3 linked regions of the Drosophila melanogaster genome follow. The protein of the gene in region 2 purifies or fractionates together with the protein of the main gene of each other region. This does not show direct contact. Each region holds a gene or a part of one and is shown on either strand. Other genes may lie near its edges.

Evidence for each region. The genes of interacting proteins can lie anywhere in the genome.
Region 1: the proteins of key (region 2) and RpL23A purify together in Drosophila melanogaster (affinity purification with mass spectrometry, with the first as the bait; one large-scale study listed by BioGRID). This does not show direct contact.
Region 3: the proteins of key (region 2) and scu purify together in Drosophila melanogaster (affinity purification with mass spectrometry, with the first as the bait; one large-scale study listed by BioGRID). This does not show direct contact.

The regions. Positions count from the first base shown.
Region 1 is NT_037436.4:1,665,733-1,670,331, forward strand, and holds RpL23A (ribosomal protein L23A), read right to left. Parts: upstream 2,923-4,599; 5' UTR 2,895-2,922; coding exon 2,864-2,894; intron 2,490-2,863; coding exon 2,077-2,489; intron 2,004-2,076; coding exon 1,614-2,003; 3' UTR 1,366-1,613; intron 1,310-1,365; 3' UTR 1,270-1,309; intron 1,233-1,269; exon of another isoform or gene 1,160-1,232; intron 1,098-1,159; 3' UTR 1,050-1,097; intron 1,014-1,049; exon of another isoform or gene 933-1,013; intron 865-932; 3' UTR 822-864; exon of another isoform or gene 636-821; 3' UTR 556-635; downstream 1-555. Other genes in the region: CG7974 (uncharacterized protein), read left to right, coding at 1-302, 358-512; RabX5, read right to left, coding at 3,233-3,291, 3,347-3,572, 3,623-3,756, 3,819-3,883, 3,943-4,044, 4,105-4,352.
Region 2 is NT_033778.4:24,784,999-24,789,411, forward strand, and holds key (kenny), read right to left. Parts: upstream 2,414-4,413; 5' UTR 2,293-2,413; intron 2,133-2,292; 5' UTR 2,044-2,132; coding exon 1,771-2,043; intron 1,707-1,770; coding exon 1,604-1,706; intron 1,546-1,603; coding exon 1,241-1,545; intron 1,098-1,240; coding exon 738-1,097; intron 686-737; coding exon 557-685; 3' UTR 516-556; downstream 1-515. Other genes in the region: CG3589 (uncharacterized protein), read left to right, coding at 1-262, 314-402; Reg-5 (rhythmically expressed gene 5), read right to left, coding at 3,290-3,852, 3,981-4,170.
Region 3 is NC_004354.4:18,089,454-18,093,408, forward strand, and holds scu (scully), read left to right. Parts: upstream 1-1,805; 5' UTR 1,806-1,928; coding exon 1,929-1,937; intron 1,938-2,101; exon of another isoform or gene 2,102-2,201; intron 2,202-2,498; coding exon 2,499-3,257; 3' UTR 3,258-3,400; downstream 3,401-3,955. Other genes in the region: Swt1 RNA endoribonuclease, read right to left, coding at 1-471, 530-784, 864-969. UniProt on the Drosophila melanogaster protein: Mitochondrial dehydrogenase involved in pathways of fatty acid, and steroid metabolism.

The DNA.
Region 1 (4,599 bases), on a different chromosome or scaffold from region 2:
GGAGGACGCAGCAGAGGACGACGGTGATGTAAACAAGTACCTGACCCCCGAGGATGCCGCCCTGTACGCCCTGCCCGACCACCTGAGGCAGTCTTCCTCGCACAGATCGGAGGAGATGTTGTCCAACCAGATGCTCAATGGCATTCCTGAAGTGGACCTGGGCATTGTGGCCAAGATCCGCAACATAGAGGCCACCGAGGAAGCCAAGCAGAAGCTGCTGCAGGACGCCAAGAACAAGAAGGACGGACCCTCGCAATTCGTGCCCACCAACATGGCGGTGAACTTCATGCAACACAATCGATGTGAGTTCCCAAGTGTGAAACGTTTCCGCGGATACTAAACCTTTGTTACTTCCAGTCAACATCGAGGACAACAGCGATCAAAGGAGGCGCAAGCGTGAGGAAAGGGAGGGCAACAAATCCGCACAGCATCAGACGAATCCCAATGGAGTCAAGCGAGCCACAGATGACTACCATTATGATAAGTTTAGGAAGCAGTTCCGCAGATACTAAAGATACGAGTGCCAGCAATAAAATGTACAATTGTTTAGGTTCAGGATTCTGTTTTATTTCTATATATATTTCAATTAAATGTACTTTAAGAATTAACTCATTAATCCATTAATCGGGCCACTTCTGTAAAAATAAAAGCAAACACTTGGTTAGTTATGCTTCACAACGATGAACATATTTGCTTTTATGCTTGCAATCAGTGAGAGACAAAATTAATTTCAAAGCAACGAATGACTGAGGCTCAATGAGATTCCTACTCAAAATATCATCACAATAAAGAAGTTGTCAGTAACTAAAACAGATACACACCTTATAAGAAGTTAGTCCAGAGAATCGGGAAACAATGGCGCAACTGAAATGAATTAAAAAAGAATTGTTAAATAAAGCGCTTTAAGAGAAGCCATTGTTGTTTGAAATGATTTGATCAGTGGGAGATTAAAATTGATTTCATAGCTACAGGTAGCTCAATGAGATTCCTACTCGAAATATCATCAGAGCAGATTACAATTCAAACTACTCCATCCGAAATATACACACCTTGAAGAATTTCATATCCAAGGATCCAGATACGAGCCAGATTGAAAACTGAAACGAAATAAAGTCTTGATTAGCTTGGTTTGGTTGAGTTCAGCTTCCTTGAGCATAATGCTATCAGTGGAGATAAAATTGATTTCATGGTTATTTCAATGAGATTCCTACTCGTAATATCATCAGCTAAGTGTTATACATTAAAATTACAAAATAAAACTTTAATTACCTCTTCGTTTAGCAAGTTAAGCTTCCCATTTAAAGACAGCCTGCGATAGAAGGTAGTATTAGCAAATTGAAAGATTGCTTGTTATTAAAAACTCACCAATTTAGAGCGCTAAAACCTGAAGTATCCAATCTGAAAGAGAAAACTGAAAGAAACTCAGAACCCATTGAGCCCACATTGAAAACCCACACTTAGTTTTTGAGTGGTTTTATTAAACCCAGACAACTTTGAAACGTTCATCCTCGCTCTACCGTGTCAGCTTAGCATTACTTTGTTTATAGAAAAGAATCTACATATAAAATGTAGAACGCGATGCCCATTCCACACGTTACCGCAGATTGCAGCGCTTATATGATGCCGATCTTGTTGGCAATGTCCAGGGCGTCGTAGTCGCGCGCCAGGCGCACATAGGCCTTCTTCTGGCCATCGGGCCGGATGAGCACGTTCACCTTGGCCACCTTGATGTCGTAGAGCTTGCGCACTGCGGCACGCACGTGGTTCTTGTTGGCGCGCAGGTGTGTGAGGAAGACCAGGGTGTTGTTGTCCTCGATCTTCTTCATGGCCGCCTCGGTGGTCAGTGGGTACTTGATGATGTTGTACGCGTCCATGCGGTTCCTGGTGGGCACCGATTTCCTGGGGTACTTGGGACTCCTGGGCAGCTTCAGGGTGGTTGGCCGACGGAAGTGCACGTTGGTGCGGATCTTGCGGGCACGGGTGCCGAAGGCGCCCTTGATGATCTGTTCGAAAAGAGCAACAAAGAACGAGGTTAGTCCGAGTCGATCTCCTCAATATTAAGCAGCTGATGCACACCTTCTTCTGGACCTTCTTGGCGTTCAGCAGAGCCACAGCCTTGGCCTTGGCGGTTCCCTTGGCGGGCTTGGTCACGGGCTTCACGCCCTTCTTGGCCTTGGCGGCCGCGCGAGCCTTGGCAGAGAGCTTGGCCAGCACGGACTGGGGCTTCTTGCCGGCGAGGACCTTCTTCTTGGCATCCTTGCTCTTGGCCTTGGCGGCCGCGGTCGTCTTTACGGCCGCGGGCTTCTTGGCAGCAGCACCGGCGGTCGCTGGCTTCTTGGCGGCCGGAGCAGCCTTCTTAGCCGCTGGGGCAGCAGCCTTCTTGGGCGCAGCGGCAGCTGGCTTGGCAGCCGAGGGAGCAGCCTCCTTCTTGCCGGCAGCGGGAGCCGCAGCAGTCTTCTTCTGCTCTGGCTTCTTGTCGCCAGGCTTGGCTGTAAACAGAAGAGCGCGGAGTCCACGGATTAGTAAACATGTTCGGCTCTCGACGCACAAAGTTAGGTTAGGCCTGATCGATCAGCAAGGCAATGGGACGCTTTCCGACTCATCCAGCTCCATTCGAATAAATTCAACTTTGGATTGCTCACTCGGTTGCTATACTATCCCATTCTGAACACACACTTGGACATTCCCACGCAGACACACCGCACGTGGCCGAAACTACGGATTATCTGTTCGAACACATTTATGCCTTAAAATCACAATATTTCGCACAAATTCGATTGCCTTCTGGTGGGCTGAGCTGTCGTCTCCCTTTTGCTGATCGATTCACGCATTTTTCGCATATTTTTGAATGAAAAATCCTTACCGGATTTCTCGGTTGGCTTTTTGGGTGGCATTTCTACGAGAAAAAGAAATGAAAAGGAAAACTGAGGGGCAGTTGTCAAAAGGCGGAAGCCCGTTTTGACAGGAGGGTGGCCAGATAGCTGGAATTTGGCACGCATTCAGTGCGTTTGGCAACACTGCTGCGGCACTTATTAGCCGTGTCTGGCTTGCTATCTTGACACTGTGCGCGTGCAACACAGCCGCAAAAATGAGTGGCAACGCTAACGGTGTTTAAAATGTAACGGTACTTGTTGAATTCGAATTTAAAGCGAAAGAAGTAACCAAATTGTTTAAAACTGTTTTATTCAATGTCTTACGTTAAGCTAAAAATACAAGTTGTGCAATCTGCAGGCTAGCAAGTACAGCCACTTTTCTGTTGCGAGAGGCGGCTTCCAAAGAAGTTGCGTAAATCTAAATAAGAATAAATATAAGCTGATAGGATAAGAATTTTCGAATAGCGGCTTACCAAAAGTTTGCGATTTAACAGATGCCTGAGTGGCCTGTTCCTGAGGCTTATTCTTAATAGACCTAATTTCCTGCATTACAGCCTCTTCAAAGGCCAGGGCAGCGATCCTTTGGAATAATTCCGTAACTTTGAAGCCAGATCGCGCCGAAACGGACCAATATTCCGCCTGAAGCTCGGCGGCTGCCAACCCTGCCAGTCGTTCCATGCGTACAAACTCCTCCTTCGACTGAAAAGTAAGTGCTATTACTTGAATCTTTTGTTGGAAAGGTGGTTTACCAAGAGGTCTGCTTTTGTGCCCACCAGGAAAACCAAGGGTCTCTTGCTTGCATTGTAGTTGAGTGCGCTATTTAGCCATTTTTTTGCCGACTCCAGCGAATCCTTCTTCGACATGTCGTAGGTGACCACAATCACTTTGGTTATGGATTTGTATTGTTAAAACTCTCTCCTAATGATTTAATTAGTTGGTACTTACCACTCGCATTGCGATAATAGGCTCCGGCGATGCACCTGAAGCGCTCCTGACCAGCAGTGTCCCACCTGCAAGTAGAGCACATTTCAAAACCAAACTGATAGCGCCTTCTAGGCAGTTGACCCACATTTCCAGACTGTAGTTGTGACCCAGAATGCTGAAGTTCTCCAGCTCAAAGTCCACGCCAATGGTGGCCTTGTAGTTCGACTGAAATTTGTCGTAGCAAAATCTGCGGATGATTGTGTAAGTTAATTAATTTAGTAATGCCTATATGCCATGCCATGCTCACCGATTGACGATGGCCGTCTTGCCCACGGAGCAGTCGCCCACGAAGATGACCTTGCAGGGTCGAAACTTGGGCTTGCGAGGCGCCTCTAGGTAGTAGCGCACCTGCGCCCCAAAGTCCCGCTCCTTGCTCAGCGGAGTCTGTGCGGCACTGTAGGCGGGTGGCAGGTGCCGCAGGTGGGTGCGAGGATCGTGCAGGACCACCGTGGGCGGTTGGGGTAACAGCAGGTTCTGCCGCAGTCGATGGGGCATGGCGGACGTCTCTATTCCAACTAACTAAGCAGCTCAAATTGGGGAAGCCAGCCACGTCGTCGGCGTCATCGCCTCCGCCGCAAACCACAAACTTGGTCGGCTTGAACTTGGTGGCTATCACATGCCCAAGGTGCCGAAAGCTACCTTACACCCCCTGCTTTGCATTGCAAATGCAGGTGCTCGATAAGAGCAGCTCGGGTGTGGGTTAGTTCCGATAGGGAGAAGGCCTTAAGAGCTGAGCTTTAAT
Region 2 (4,413 bases):
TACGTTAACTTCAGCTTCAGGCACGACTTCAACCCTTCGATTTTTCAAGGGAGGGTCATCAAGTGCGACACCGGGGCCATTATGTCCGATGGCAGCGTGCAGGCGGGCCAAAGTGGAGGACCGATGTTCGACCAGAATGGATGCATCCTAGGCGTTTGTGTGTCCAACATTAAATTAGACGACGTCGTCTACCCAAACATAAATACAGCCATTCCAATTTGTGATATCCGCAACACGTTGCAGCAGTTTGCACGCACCAACGGTGAGCAGAATGTCGAATCGATGGTTTCTAGCTTATCTTAATTCTTTGCAGACTTAAATGTGCTTAGCAACCTGGTAGCCAGTCCAGATGTACACCGCGTGTGGTCTCTGGAAATGCCCCCCATTCGCAGCAAACTCTGAGGAGACTCGTGCATTGTTCATTGTTAACGAAACTGTAATTAGTGTTTTTATATAATATGGCCGGTTAGCCAGGCTTTTAAGATTAAACAAGATATTGTAAAAAAAGAAAATATATATATATATATAAATTTATTAATATGGTAAGAAATTGTGCTTAGTTTTTATCCAAACAATCGTTAACGTGACTCTGAAGCACGCTTAAGGCGTTAAAGGACTTTGAACAGATCGGACATCGCAAAGTGGTGTCTGAAGTCCGGGATGAGGCGCCTGTTGGGTCGAGAATCTACCGATACAAAAATTAGTATTGACATTTATGGACTTTGGAATCAGCGTACTCTTACTGGTCTCTGCTCCTCTCGCAAATTGCTTCTGCTTGAACTCAGCGGAGAAGCGGTCGAGCACGCCTTGCTTGCCTTGTGGGACTCGGCCAGAGCTTCGATAAGCTCCTGGTTCCTCCTCTGCAATGATCGCAAGTCCATAAGATACTGATCTTTCTCTCCGGCATTCTTCTCGCGATCTGCCCGCTCCATTTCAAAGTCCCTGCGGTAGATATCGTTTTGGATCTGTAGACCTTTGATCACCTCCTGCTTCTGGATGTCCCTGGCCTTCAGCTCGTTAATATCCAGCTGCATTTTCTTTATCAGCTCCTGGGATTTTGATTCGGTTGCATACTCTGGTACGAACTCAAACGAGTGCTGAAATAACAGAAGAAAAAGGGTGCGAGCCCGGAAGAGAATATTTTAAAGAGATACTGTCCAGTTTACAATGCAGAATAGCAATGATTGCGAGTCTGTATGCAAGTATTTGCCCTATCGCTTGGAGCAACTGGTAGACATACATTTAGCTGTTTCAGTTTGTCAATCTCCACGCGCATGTTGTCGATCAGGGACTGTTTCTCAGATACGCTCTTACGAAGCTCATCCTGCTCCTTTAGCCTGATGGTATGAACCCCTTCAATCTGCTCGATTTTCGTCTCTAGGTCCCTCTTCAGCTCTTGGTTTTCCACGCGAAGGATCGCGATTTGCGCTTGGCACTCTTTCACATGCTCCTTGTACTGGTGTTCTCGGTCGGCGGCTTCCTGGCGCCATTGTTGAGTCAGGTTGTGGTAGTTCAGCATGGTTTGGTTGACCTTGTCAAGTGTGCCTGGCCGGATAATGGCATATTATTGCTGTATATTACTTTACGGGAAAAAAATGCTCACTCTTTAGCGCGAGGTACTCGGTCATCATGTTCTGCAGCTTAACTACTTCCTCTGCGGAGCCCTGCAACGAGCAGAGGCTGGGAAACTGCGAATAAACACTGTTCTGTGGTTGGATTTAGAGACTGTTGTTAGAATTTAAACAGACCAGACGGTAACCAGACGCTCACCTTCAGGACATCGGATTGAATTTCTCCCATAATGAAGCTGGTCGCCAGGGATTGTTGCTGGGAAGATCCGGAATCCAGCGATTTGTGCTGCTGCTGCGATGCAGTGATGCTGACTGGAATACAGTTCACTGTTGGCGGCTGAGTGCTCGTAGAGGCAACGGTTTCCTTCGCCTCCTGCGCGTTACCACATACGTCGGACCGCAAGGAACTGTCCGGCATGAGCGAGGAGCACGGCGAGCTACCCAAGATAACGAATGACTCTTCGTCCGACATGTCTCCGTTGTCGCGGTAGCAATGGCGGGTATTAATAATCAGATTTTACGACTGTGAACGCAGGTGAGGGAATTCCCCTCTTTCGAAAACTAGACGGCAAAGTATTAGCCAAATCGATTAATTTGATATCGGCAATAGTAAGGATAAATGTATAATAAATGAGTTTTAGGGCAATGATTCATTAGGCGTGGGAATTACATCGACGCGTCACAATGGAATAAGCAATTGTCATGTTTATTGCATATATACCTTATATACTACTGCGTTCCTTATCTCGTTTTGCTTTGCTGACAAGCTTTAAGGAAATAAAATTGTTTTCGGAGTAATATTTACTTTTAACTAATTTACCAAACAACTTAGACCAGTGTGACCGCAATCGTTTCAAATGTGCCTTTTTTTGTGTCATTGATTGTCATATTGTCATAATCGGAAATGTTATCGACAATCGGCGAGCTCGTCTATCTAAATTTAAAAGCAGCTAATTTCAATAAAACTGATTACACGCCCAAAACTCGTGCATATGAAGTGCAGTTTGCACTGCAAGGGCGGTGGAAAGTCCCGGCATCATTTATTCAAGCCCAGTGACGTGCATCCCAATTTACCTTCCTTTGTTGCTCAGCTGAGATTAATGGGCGCGTCCTAAAGGCCTGAGCCTGACAAACCAGTTGCCAGCGAAATTACACCGAAATGTAATTGCCAAAACTCGCAAATTCTAATGGACGGCGCAGTGCGTTCTGAACCCGCCAAACCGGATTCAGTACCTCCATTGTTCGGCTCAACTCTGTAGATGTGGGTTAATAAGGCTTTCGCGTGTTAAATATAGGTGTGAGTGGAGCTCGCGACAAGGAACTGGTGGCTGGCCGAGATGCGACTTTCGTATTACCATAACCAACCGGTTCCTGGCTATGTGCACAGACCGCATCCCCATCCTCATTTCCATCCCAATCCACACATTTTAGAATTAATACGTTCGTAACAATGATAATCATCATGCGGTTTATTACTCAAGAATCTCTATGTGATCTTACGACTAATGCACGCGAATAAATAAAATTAAAAAAACTTAAACGAATACGATACGAAATTCCATTAAAGCTCAAGTGCATTCAAGAAAACTCCTCAAACGGCTACAACTAGAAGACTCACACGTTCACTCTCGCACTCTATGATGCAGGATCTCCTCATCTGCTCTATCACATTCACACAAGGACTTAGGTCTAGGCCTGCGGATCCTCTGACCGCGATCTTACGCCTGTTGCTGGCGGAACAGACGCCTCTGCGTCTGGTGGGGTGGCTGGAGGTCGCTCTGCAGGATAGAGGCGAAGTGCTGCTGCTTTAAGGAGCTGATTGTGGCGATCTTGCGGTGCCTGTTGGGCTGAGCGGCGGCCAGACCAAGATGAAAGTAGGGCAGGTCTTCGTCCCGCGGCAGTGGCATCATCTTGTCCTCCTCCACCGGGGAGCCATCGGGTCGCACCCGGATCACCAAAGGTCCGGTGAGGAATCTTTTGGACGGTTCTGAAGTCAGTGCGGCGGCCATTGGGAGCTCACTGCTGGACTGCGGCCCGTAGCCGTAGGCCTTGTCCATGTCCATGGCGTATTTGTGCTTCTGCTCGCCGCTCTCGAAGATTGGATTGGTGGCGGAGCCGGAGCTCTGGATGGGGTGGGCATGGGATGCTCCGTGCGGAAGTTGCTGGCGCGTTAGGATGATCAGAGAGGACGCAGGAGGAGTTGGCAGGGGCTGTTGGAGCGGCTGCCTCGTTGTCACCAGGCTGGCTCCGCTCGGATGGTCCCCCATAATCGATGACCAGACTGCGGAAGAAAAGAGCGATTAGATCGACACCGAGATTTAGAGCTCACGTCGAGCACGTCGCGACTGCGCACTGCGGAAGTTCTGACGCGGAAATCAATCATTCTCCCACGCAGATAGAGGCACTTACTCAGCTCGTTGGCATCGCGCTGATACGGATCTAGTGCCTCCAGCTGTACGTCGGAGAGCGTCTGCAGCTTGGCGGACCCGTAACCGAGCAGGTTGTGCTTGCACTGGTTCACTGGGAGGCCTCCGACGGCGGCTGTTGACTTGCAGTGCACGCTTACCAATTGAGCGAATGTTGAGTAGAGGTGGGACATCTGCAAAGTAACAAAATTGGTGGTTATTTTAATGGCGTCTTGTGTTTAAGAATCAAGTTATAGAAATTAGAAAGCAGATCATCGCTTCTCTGTTCACCAGCCGAATATGGTATTGATTTGTCATAAACGAAAATCGGAGAACATATGTCGGTGATATTAGAAAAAAAAAGAAAAAAGAAAGTTCGAAGCAATCATACTTCGACCAGGTCTCTTGGGTAACGCAGGGCAGAGGTGGAGCTGAAG
Region 3 (3,955 bases), on a different chromosome or scaffold from region 2:
GCAGCACCACATCGGTCAGTCTCTCCACGAACTTGTGGTTGTGTATGAGGACGTTGGTGTCCAGCACAAAGTACATGTAATCCTCAAGCCTTGGGGGCAGCTCCTCGGCATCGGCCGCCTGCAGCATCAATATAGTGTCGTCCTCTTCCTTAGCCTCATCCTGACCTTTCTGTGGCGCCTCCTCTTCAATGGACTCCGCCGGCAGCATCAATAGAGTGTCGTCCCCTTTCTTAGCCTCATCCTGATCATTCTGTGCCGCCTCCTCTTCAATAGACTCCTGCCATTCCATGGGCTCGACCTCCATATCGCTGGCCGTCGAGCCATCAAATGCACTTGGATTTGTGATGTTGCAGGCTTCTGGTTGTTTTTCTATCACCTCTTCGTTGATCTTGGCCACAATATTGTTGTTGCGCTCCTCATATAGCTGCTTCTGCTGCAGCGAAGCTCTTAACAGCATGAGACGCTGGTAGGCTAGGGAGACGATAAGGAGAACATGGGATATGAGTAACTATATGCACCGGGCACTCACCAGTTTGGGTACGTCCCGCCTTCAGGCGATTGGCATCGACCAGGGCTTTTGGCTTTTCCCAGGCATTCATCGCCACCTTAGGCGGAAACTTCAGGAGTCGCTGGGGCGTAGATGTGGACGCACTTGATCGACGAGATGCGGAGGAACTGTGGGTGATCCGCTTGGTGGTCCCCTGCTCCTTCTCGTTGTCCTGCACCCGCTTTAGTTGGCCCTGCAGGCGCTTGAGGCGGTCCTGGGCGGGATGCTGGCTCACTCCTTGCCATATTGCGTGGAAAAGTGGAGTTGAATCTTGGTTCTGGCATTCTGGCAAACGCGCAGTTTGCATGGGTTTTACCATTTGACGGACGTGGCGTGCTGATGATCCTAACCAGCTGGTCGTCGTCCAACGGCCTCAGATTGGAAGACTTTGGCGTGTGCTTACTTTCTCCACCGAGCGACATATTGTGTTCTTTAACATTTGATTTCTAGGAAGTACTCATTTATTTTGTATTTCAATAGGCAATCTGACTTAGAGGTGGAGAAACATCGATGACATCATCGATATCATCGATCTTTTCAAACAATCACAAGCATCGATGTTTTTCGAGGAATCATCGATGTTCTTCCATACATCGGAGGACAAAAGTATATAAATTGGGGGTATAAATTAAATTCGGATATAACTTTGTTATGATTTATTTAAAATACTCCTTATTTATATAAGCAATATTTTTTTTTAATTATTATTTATTAAGTGAAGTAATAAGAAATATTAAAAATGAAAATAATCTTAAATTAAACAGAAACAATGTTTTGTTTTTATTTAAAGCATAAATGTTTATGTTCAAATTAATTTAAGTTATAAACCATAAAATAAATTAAATGAGTATATGTAATTCTACGGCATACATTTTGGCGTGGAAGCTAAATACGAATTCATACAATGAATAGCTTATAACTAAAATTTACTGTAATAATCTATAGCATAAGTTGTTTTAAGCCATTGAATTTGAATAGCTAAAGATTTCATTTATAAAGACTTGAATGCTGCCACCTTAATTGTTGCAAAAACATGTTCTTGAAATAATAAGTTGCCAAGTTAGTTAGCTTGCCAAATAAAATCTTCACTGTTTGCCTGCTCGAGGTAATTTATATTTAAAAGTTCTTTCAAAATCTTGCAAATTAATTGCTTGGTAATAAACAAATTGATTTAAATTTAAATTTAAAAAAAAACTCAAAATTTAAAAGCTAAGCCAATGATAGGAGCCCCCTAACCGGTAGGCAGTATTTTCAAGCGGCGCACATACGGTCACACTGCACGGTTTCGAATCGCTTAACAAGTTTTTGCTTAAAAAGCTTTGCCGAGCACTAAGTAACCACCGCCTTTCGCACCCACAACACAACGCCACCAGCCAGAACAATGATCAAGGTACGTGGGGTGCTGTAAATAAGGATCACACTGCGATTAGACGGGAATTAGTGCAGCAAAAGCGGCCGATGACTGCGCGGCCGGGGTGCAAAGTCCAATTGGGATGTGAACTCGTGTCTATTATAAACATGGAGTCCCATAAATAACTGTATCTCTGCCCACAGCGATGTACCTTGTACCCAGCCAACAATTAGCATTACTTCCCCACCGAGTTATACAATAATACAATGCGGCTTATCGGGAAACTGGACACCGAACGCATCGGTCAGCTGCTTTCGAAATAATAAGATAAACCGGCATCGGATTATAAGTTTATCTGCAAATTGAGGATCGTGCTATTTCTATACTAACTTTAACGGACAACTTCTCAATGTTGTTAAAGATAAGGATCTCAGTCCTACAGATCGTATATTTTGCATTCTATATGCTTATTCTGTTAAGATCTCTAAACATTGATGTTGTAGTTGGGATGAAATGGAATGGAGTGCATTTTTAGAATCTATTTCCTTGGATATATACATATATATATAGTTTCTAACCCCATGCCTTTCCCACCCCCAGAACGCCGTTTCCCTGGTGACCGGAGGAGCCTCTGGACTGGGCCGCGCCACCGCCGAGCGCCTGGCCAAGCAGGGCGCCAGCGTGATCCTGGCCGATCTGCCCTCCTCCAAGGGCAACGAGGTGGCCAAGGAGCTGGGCGACAAGGTGGTCTTCGTGCCCGTGGACGTGACCTCCGAGAAGGATGTGAGCGCCGCTCTGCAGACGGCCAAGGATAAGTTCGGTCGTCTGGATCTGACTGTGAACTGTGCGGGCACAGCCACCGCGGTAAAGACGTTCAACTTCAACAAGAACGTGGCGCACCGCCTGGAAGACTTCCAGCGGGTGATCAACATCAATACCGTGGGCACGTTCAATGTGATCCGTCTGTCCGCCGGACTGATGGGCGCCAATGAGCCCAATCAGGATGGACAGCGCGGCGTGATCGTGAACACCGCCTCGGTGGCTGCCTTTGATGGCCAGATCGGCCAGGCGGCCTACTCCGCCTCCAAGGCAGCCGTGGTGGGCATGACCCTGCCCATTGCCCGTGACTTGAGCACCCAGGGCATACGTATCTGCACCATTGCACCGGGTTTGTTCAACACGCCTATGCTGGCCGCCCTGCCGGAGAAGGTGCGCACCTTCCTGGCCAAGTCCATACCGTTCCCGCAGCGCCTGGGCGAGCCCAGTGAGTACGCCCACCTGGTGCAGGCCATCTACGAGAATCCGCTGCTCAACGGCGAGGTCATCCGTATCGACGGTGCTCTGCGCATGATGCCCTAGATCCGGCTGAGCACTGTCTTGGACCTGTGGAAGTGGCTCGATCAGTTTGCATTTATCTATTGTCTAGTGGTTAAGCTGAAAAGTTTTATTATCTGTCCCGAAATTATGTAATAATTGCTATTAAACACACAATGTCACATTTCAAATTTTGGAGGCGCGTCTGCCTGCTGTTCTTCAACACTGGTTATATATAAGGGATAGCTGGGGTGTATTGGCTGCACAGGTCGTTGCAACAGGTGGATTAATTTTTTGTAAGTCAATTTTATTACTGACTTACTATTTGTGCAATTAATTCTTAAGCAACCATGTATTTATAATAAGAAAATAGTTTACTATCATATTTACAAAGTTGGTCTGAGCTTAAATATTTATTGAATAAAAGGGTATTTCTAAGTCGCTAGCCCTTAAGATTTCCCTGTTGTTCCCGCAAGTTGGCAGTTCCGTTTCAAAATGTAAACAACGAACATTTGAAAATCGCTCTTCAGAAGATAATGCCATATCAGCGCTGCTGAGCCGGGAACTTCGTAGGGCAGCTGGCGGGGATCAGGAGAATGTACCCCCTGTCCAGCAAACGGATCGCTTGGGAACACAAGACGCAGAGCAATTTAAGTGGAAGGAATCCCCGGCAGGAGATGATGCACTGGTGGTCAATGAGGATGCATTTTAAGTGAAGAAGAACGAAATGGACACTGTGCTGG